Linked DNA regions of Macaca fascicularis. The protein of the gene in region 2 interacts with the protein of the main gene of each other region in a pairwise test. Links are inferred from orthologs where the notes say so. Each region holds a gene or a part of one and is shown on either strand. Other genes may lie near its edges.

The links.
Region 1: the proteins of SREBF2 (region 2) and SP1 interact in binary tests that used the Homo sapiens proteins (3 or more experiments, as listed by UniProt). The link is inferred for Macaca fascicularis from reciprocal best matches to the Homo sapiens genes SREBF2 and SP1.

Annotation. Positions count from the first base shown.
Region 1 is NC_088385.1:60,209,631-60,213,445, forward strand, and holds part of SP1 (transcription factor Sp1), read left to right. Parts: intron 1-515; coding exon 516-684; intron 685-2,317; coding exon 2,318-2,517; intron 2,518-3,572; coding exon 3,573-3,815. UniProt on the Homo sapiens protein: Transcription factor that can activate or repress transcription in response to physiological and pathological stimuli.
Region 2 is NC_088384.1:9,732,293-9,736,107, forward strand, and holds part of SREBF2 (sterol regulatory element-binding protein 2), read right to left. Parts: intron 2,884-3,815; coding exon 2,769-2,883; intron 2,680-2,768; coding exon 2,498-2,679; intron 690-2,497; coding exon 497-689; intron 1-496.

The DNA.
Region 1 (3,815 bases), on a different chromosome or scaffold from region 2:
TTTTTTTTTTTTTGAGACGGAGTCTCGCTCTGTCACCCAGGCTGGAGTGCAGTGGCCGGATCTCAGCTCACTGCAAGCTCCGCCTCCCGGGTTTACACCATTCTCCTGCCTCAGCCTCCCGAGTAGCTGGGACTACAGGCACCCGCCACTGCGCCCGGCTAGTTTTTTGTATTTTTTAGTAGAGACGGGGTTTCACCGTGTCAGCCAGGATGGTCTCGATCTCCTGACCTCGTGGTCCGCCCGTCTCGGCCTCCCAAAGTGCTGGGATTACAGGCTTGAGCCACCGCGCCCGGCCCACTCTTTGTATTTTCAATGATGATTCTTGAGATTTCAGTGAGTCTTCAGGTGTCAGTGAATGGAATGGCTGAACATTTTAAAAAGGCTTCAAAACTTGTGATACTGTGAACGTAGGATGTCAGTTCAAAAGAAATGATGCCGTGACTGTAGGGTATCACTGAGATGCCAGTGATAACCTGCCCGTGTCACATGTTGACTCTTTTCTCTCTTAATTATAGGTGATCATGGAGCTCAGCTTGGTCTCCATGGGGCTGGTGGTGATGGAATACATGATGACACAGCAGGTGGAGAGGAAGGAGAAAACAGCCCAGATGCCCAACCCCAAGCCGGTCGGAGGACCCGGCGGGAAGCATGCACCTGCCCCTACTGTAAAGACAGTGAAGGAAGGTGAGTTGACCCAGCAAGTTTCTTACAAATATGAAGAAAAAATAATAGGATTTGGAGGAAAGAGGAAGAAGGTTAATTTTTTTTTTTTTTTTTTTGAGACCGAGTCTTACTCTGTCTCCCAGGCTGGAGTGCAGTGGCGCCATCTCGGCTTACTGCAACCTCTGCCTCCCGGGTTTAAGCAATTCCCCCTGCTTTAGCCTCCCAAGTCACTGGGATTACAAGCATGTAATCCACACCTGGCTAATTTTGTATTTTTAGTAGAGATGGGGTTTCACCAGGTTGGTCAGTGAACTCCTGACCTCAGGTGATCTGCCCACCTTGGGCTCCCAAAGTGCTGGGATTACAAGCATGACCCACCGTGCCTGGCCTTGGGTTTTTTTGTTTGTTTGTTTTTTGTTTTTTTGTTTTTTTTTTTTTGAGACAGAGTCTTGCTCTGTGGCCAGGCTGGAGTGCAGTGGTGTGCGATCTTGGTTCACTGCAACCTCTGCCTCCCGGGTTCAAGTGATTCTTCTGCCTCAGCCTCCTGAGTAGCTAGGACTACAGGCATGCACCACCATGTCCAGCTAATTTTTGTGTTTTTAGTAGAAATGGGGTTTCACCACGTTGGCCAGGGTGGTCTCAATCTCTTGACCTTGTGATGCACCCTCCTTGGCCTCCCAAAGTGCTGAGATTACAGTTGTGAGCCACTGTGCCCAGCTTAACTTTTAAATTTTTTATAGAGATGGGATTTCCCTGTGTTGCCCAGGCTGGTCTCAAACTCCTGGGCTTAAGCAGTCCTCCTGCCTTAGCCCCACAAATTGTTGGGATTACAGGCGTTAGCCACTGCACCCAGCCTAGAAGCCTTTTTAAAAATTTAATTTAATTTAATTTTTTTTGAGACTGAGTCTCGCTCTGTCGCCCAGGCTGGAATGCAGTGGCGCAGTCTCGGCTCACTGCAAGCTCTGCCTCCCAGGTTCACGCCATTCTCCTGTCTCAGCCTCCCGAGTAGCAGGGACTACAGGTGCCCGCCACCACGCCTGGCTAATTTTTTTTGTATTTTTAGTAGAGACAGGGTTTCACCGTGTTAGCCAGGATGGTTTCAATCTCCTGACCCTGTGATCCGCCTGCCTCCGCCTCCCAAAGTGCTGGGATTACAGGCGTGAGCCACCGCGCCCAGCCCCTAGAAGGCTTTTTAAAAGGAAGCCTTGGTCCATCGCGGTGGCTCACGCCTGTAATCCCAGCACTTTGGGAGGTGGAGGCAGGCAGATCCATCACCTGAGGTTAGGGATTCGAGACCAGCCTGGCCAACATGGCGAAACCTCATCTGTACTAAAAATACACAATTCAACTGGACATGGTGGCGTGCACCTGTTGGTGCACTGGACATAGTGGCGTGCATCCTAGCTACTCGGGAGGCTGAGGCAGGAGAATCATTTGAACCTAGGAGGTGTGAGCCGTGATCATGCCGTTGTACTCCAGCCTGGACGACAGAGTGAGACTCTGTCTCAAAAAAACAAAACAAAAAAGAAGGCTTTTTCAAAAAATAAAAGTTTGGGTTAGTTTGGTGTAGGTTGGGTGACTGTTGTTGATACTTTGTGGTTCTTTAGTTTCTGTCTCTAGAATGAATGATAAATAGTTGTATCCTCACTTTCAGGGGCTCGGGGGATCCTGGCAAAAAGAAACAACATATTTGCCACATCCAAGGCTGTGGGAAAGTGTATGGCAAGACTTCACACCTGCGGGCACACTTGCGCTGGCATACAGGCGAGAGGCCATTTATGTGTACCTGGTCATACTGTGGGAAACGCTTCACACGTTCAGATGAGCTACAGAGGCACAAACGTACACACACAGGTGAGCAAGAGCCTATGGGAGAAAAATAGAGTAATAGCCTAGAATGAAAAACACAAAATATACCTACAAAATAACTAAAATTTCTGAACAACTTAATTTGAAACTAAATATATGGGTCACAAATGGAATTGGAGTTAATCTGGAAACCTTTTAAGAAGGAAGGAGGAGCTGCGCACAGTGGCTCACACCTGTAATCCCAGCACTTTGGGAGCCCAAGGTGGGCGGATCATGAGGTCAGGAGATCAAGACCATCCTGGCTAACACGGTGAAACCCCATCTCTAAAAATACAAAAAAATTAGCCGGGCATGGTGGCAGGCTCCTGTAGTCCCAGCTACTCGGGAGGCTGAGGCAGGAGAATGGCAGGAACCTGGGAGGCGGAGCTTGCAGTGAGCCAAGATTGTGCCACTGCACTCCAGCCTGGGCGACAGAGTGAGACTCCGTCTCAAAAAAAAAAAAAAAGGAAGGAGTTGGGTGCGGTGGCTCACGCCTGTAATCCCAGCACTTTGGGAGGCCGAGGTGGTTGGATTTCTTGAGGTCAGGAGTTTGAGACCAGCCTGACCAATATGGGGAAACCTTGTCTCTACTAAAATTACAAAAGTCAAGCGTGCTGGCGCACACCCGTAATCACAGCTACTCGGGAGGCTGAGGGAGGAGAATTGCTTGAACCCAGGAGGTGGAGGTTACAGTGAGCTGAGATTGTGCCACTGCACTCCAGCCTAGGCGACAGAGCAAGACTGTCTCAAAAAAAAAAAAAAGGAAGGAACTAGATTTTGAGTGGGATGTTTTGAAGGCAAAGCGTTGAAACCATTACTCTTAGTCTCTGCCCTGCCTTACTTTTCTGCTAAGTTCTACCCTCCTTACTGAGTACTCCCCAACCTTTATCTACTTTTCTTCCCCACGCCCCCACCAAAGGAAAAGATACTTGAAGATTTTTCTTGTTTTTAATCATCTTCTCATACTGGTCTTACTCAGCTTAGTAGAGTAATTACTGAACTGGGTAAGATAACCTCACTTCCTAACATGTCAGCTTCTTATCTTTCCTTCCTTTACCTAGGTGAGAAGAAATTTGCCTGCCCTGAGTGTCCTAAGCGCTTCATGAGGAGTGACCACCTGTCAAAACATATCAAGACCCACCAGAATAAGAAGGGAGGCCCAGGTGTAGCTCTGAGTGTGGGCACTTTGCCCCTGGACAGTGGGGCAGGTTCAGAAGGCAGCGGCACTGCCACTCCTTCAGCCCTTATTACCACCAATATGGTAGCCATGGAGGCCATCTGTCCAGAGGGCATTGCCCGTCTTG
Region 2 (3,815 bases):
GCCAGGAAAGGCCTTGCGGAACAGCCAGGCACCTGACAGACCCCAGCACTATCACAGGAACGAGTCTTCTACCGTATTTTCAGAAGAAAGGGTGAATAATTCTATAATCTAAACGGGGCTAATGACTGTAGCCCTTGTCATTATGGAGCTGAGTGCCACAAAAATCTTTGTTAGCTTGAAAGGGTTAAGGCATTGGTTTTGCAACCTCAGGTAAAAAACTCCATATCCTCCTTCAAATAGGTACCACCCCTCCACGCCAGGGTATTTAGAGTAGTGTGGGTCCCTGATTTGTTTTGCTCATTCTGACTGAACTTGGGCTTGCCTTGTTACTTCCAAAACGGAACTTATGCCAGTCCCTATCAGAAGCAAGCAGGTGGGGGCCCACTATAAAACCCCTTTGGGACCTGGTAGCCAAGCCAAGAAGTTTGTACACAGGGTCCTTCTCCTGCCATAGTGGTCCAGCCATGCCCAGGTGGTGTAAGGGGCCGCCACTTACCTGACTCAAATGACAGGACACTGCGGCCAGAGCCTGAGTGTGGGTGCTGGTCAGAGTCGTGAGCCCCTCCCCACTGCAGCAGGGAAGTCAGGGGGTTAAAGGAGAGGCACAGGAAGGTGAGGACACACAGAAGAATCCGTGAGCGGTCTACCATGCCCAGTGCCACAGGAGGAGAGTCTGGCTCATCTTTGACCTTCAAAACAAGGCCTCGAGGTTGGAATAAATACTGCATAGGTTTTTACAGCACTTTATAAATACATATATATATTGAGAAATGGTTATGAGGTTTAAATTCAAGTCTATTAACTCAGGACTAAGGCCAGATGGGAATTGAGAGGCCTATAATTCACTAACTGCTGCTCAAACATTGGCACATTCACCTGCTTGCTAACTGAGAAAAGTACATGTGCCAAAGAACAAAGGTAGAAGAGATTTTCTTTTAAAATAGAGCTCTACCACAAAAGAGAACACACTGTATGATTCTGTTTCTGTATAATTCCAGAACAGGCAAAATGAATCTAAAGTAACAGGAAACTGATGAATCAAGTAATTGTCTGAGGCTGGAGAGGGGTGTGGGAAACTACCTGCAAAGGTGTACAAAAGAGCTTTTTGGGGTGATGGAAATGTTCTATATCTTGATTATAGTGACAGTTACATAGCACTGTACATTATGTTAAAACTCTTGGTACTGTACATTTAAAGTAGGTATATTTTATTGCATTTAAATTATACCTCAATAAAGTTGATCAAAAATCATATTTAGTGTGAATCTATCTAAAGGATATTTTACCTGTTCTAAAACAGTACCATTGTCTACACCCACCCCACTCTCCATTTTATAGCAGGAGGGCTGGAGCCAGATCTCCCCTGCGCCCCAATGTGTATATAGCATGTCATTTCTTTTCAATATTTTAAAACCATTCTTCTGATGACTCAGAAGCCGAGCTAATTCAATTTATATGTCAAACAGCCTGTTGTTGCCAAACAGAATCACATTTATAAGAATATTTCAAAAACAGAGCATCCTTAGTAAAATTAAGTATGTGATACAATAAACAGCTTAGTCAAAAACAAACACTAGAAGGGAACTTTGTGCTTACAGAGTCAGAAACTGCCGAAGTCAAAATACAGTACAGAACCCAGTGGTCTCTACAGGTTCCCAGGAAGATCATTAGGCTCAGAGCCTCTCTTAAGTAATTCCATTAAACTACCATTGCCAGGGGCTTTCTTGGACGATTAAAGGCCCGTAGATAAAATGTTATCTGTTAGACTGCAAATTGTAATCATTTCTGAAAAGAGGACCCAGAGGCAGCCTCATCCTAAACGAATTGATCAGCCTCCCAAAGTGGTCTTGCCAGGCCCATTAAAGGCAGAGTGAAGCAATGAGGTGCCTTCAGCAGCTCCCAACGCCCCCACAACAGCTACTCCGCATTCCTGTTCTGGATCTGGCACTCATTACTCTCTGACGGGGCCTATCAGCAAGGACCAGTTAAACCTGAGGGACTGTTTCCCCCCAGAGTCAGTTTTCTTTTTCTTTTTTTTTTTTGAGACTGAGTCTGGCTCTGTCGCCCAGGCTGGAGTGCAGTGGCCGGATCTCAGCTCACTGCAAGCTCCGCCTCCCGGGTTTATGCCATTCTCCTGCCTCAGCCTCCGGAGTAGCTGGGACCACAGGCGCCCGCCACCTCGCCCGGCTAGTTTTTTGTATTTTTTAGTAGAGACGGGGTTTCACCGTGTTAGCCAGGATGGTCTCGATCTCCTGACCTTGTGATCCGCCCGTCTCAGCCTCCCAAAGTGCTGGGATTACAGGCTTGAGCCACCGTGCCCGGCTCAGTTTTCTTTTTCTTTATTCTCCAGGACCTGGTTAATTTCACAGAATTCCTGTTTCTCTCCAGGCTAGGCCCTCTGAACATGCAGCCTGGCCTCATAACTGTGACCTCGCAGCTACTTTCTTAGGGGAAATGGGAAAGATTCCAAGGATCAGAAGATTTCAAAAGTCTGTACCTTTGCATCATCCAACAGAGGGCTTCCTGGCTCAGAGTCAATGGAGTAGGGAGAGAAGCCAGCCTGTGACCCTGAGTCAGAGGCTGGGGGGGACATCAGAAGGACATTCTGATTAAAGTCCTCGATCTTCAGGTCCACCTCAGTGTCCACCAGACTGCCTAGGTCGATGCCCTTTAGAAGCTCTGCAAAGAAAACCCCACCTGGTGAAAATGATCTGCCTTTACAAAGCCCTAGCCGGGCCGGGGGACAACCCTGCTCTCAGCACACTTACTGTTCTTTTGATTTGCCAGCTTCAGCACCATGTTCTCCTGGCGCAGTTTATGATTGACCTGCTGCAAGTATTTGATGTAATCAATGGCCTTCCTCAGAACGCCAGACTTGTGCATCTGGGTAGGAAGATAAGCAAAAACACAGTGAGACCAGTGCAGGCTACAGGGTGAAAAGAGCAGAGCCCTAGCACTTGGGATGACAGCATGGCTCTGTGAGGGGAGAAACCAAGTTCAGATGCTGGCCCTCCCAACGATTAGCTGTGCCACTCGGGAGAAGTTACTCCATACCTCTGAACCTCACTTTCCACCTCATTAACACAGAGATAATGAGAGTCCGTGAATCACAGGCTTGCAGCCTGGCTAAATCAGATAATGAGTGTAAAGAGCTTAGCCCCGAGCCTGGCAAACAGTTGACACTCAATAAATATTAGCTATTGTTCCTACTTCTTACAATAATCCTAGCATAAAAACAAACTTTAAGGAAAACAAATGACAAAACACCACAGCATTGTTGGACAGCTATCTTTTTTTTTTTTTTTTTCCAAGACAGAGTTTCACTCTTGTTGCCCAGGCTGGAGTACAATGGCACCATCTCGGCTCACTGCAACCTCCGCCTCCCAGGTTCAAGCAATTCTCCTGCCTCAGCCTCCTGAGTAGCTGGGATTACAGGCGCCTGCCACCACACCTGGCTAATTTTTTGTATTTTTAGTAGAGATGGGGTTTCACCATGTTGACCAGGCTGGTCTTGAACCCCTGCCCTCGTGATCCACCCGCCTCGGCTTCCCAAAGTGCTGCGATTACAGGTGTGAGCCACAGCACCTGGCCTGGACAGTTATCTTAAGGCAAAGATTTTTACTTAGGATGTATACTTTTCAGATTTGTAGGCAACAAGGAAAATAATGAAATTTTCTTTCAAAATAGGGTTTAAACATAGATAGGTTTTAAAAATAAAATCTCCTACTTTCCAGAAGACACATTCAGTGAAAACACCAGAAACATTTGGAAAATCAATTTCCTCTATTTGTTGCTGGTCAAAGACTCAACCTCTT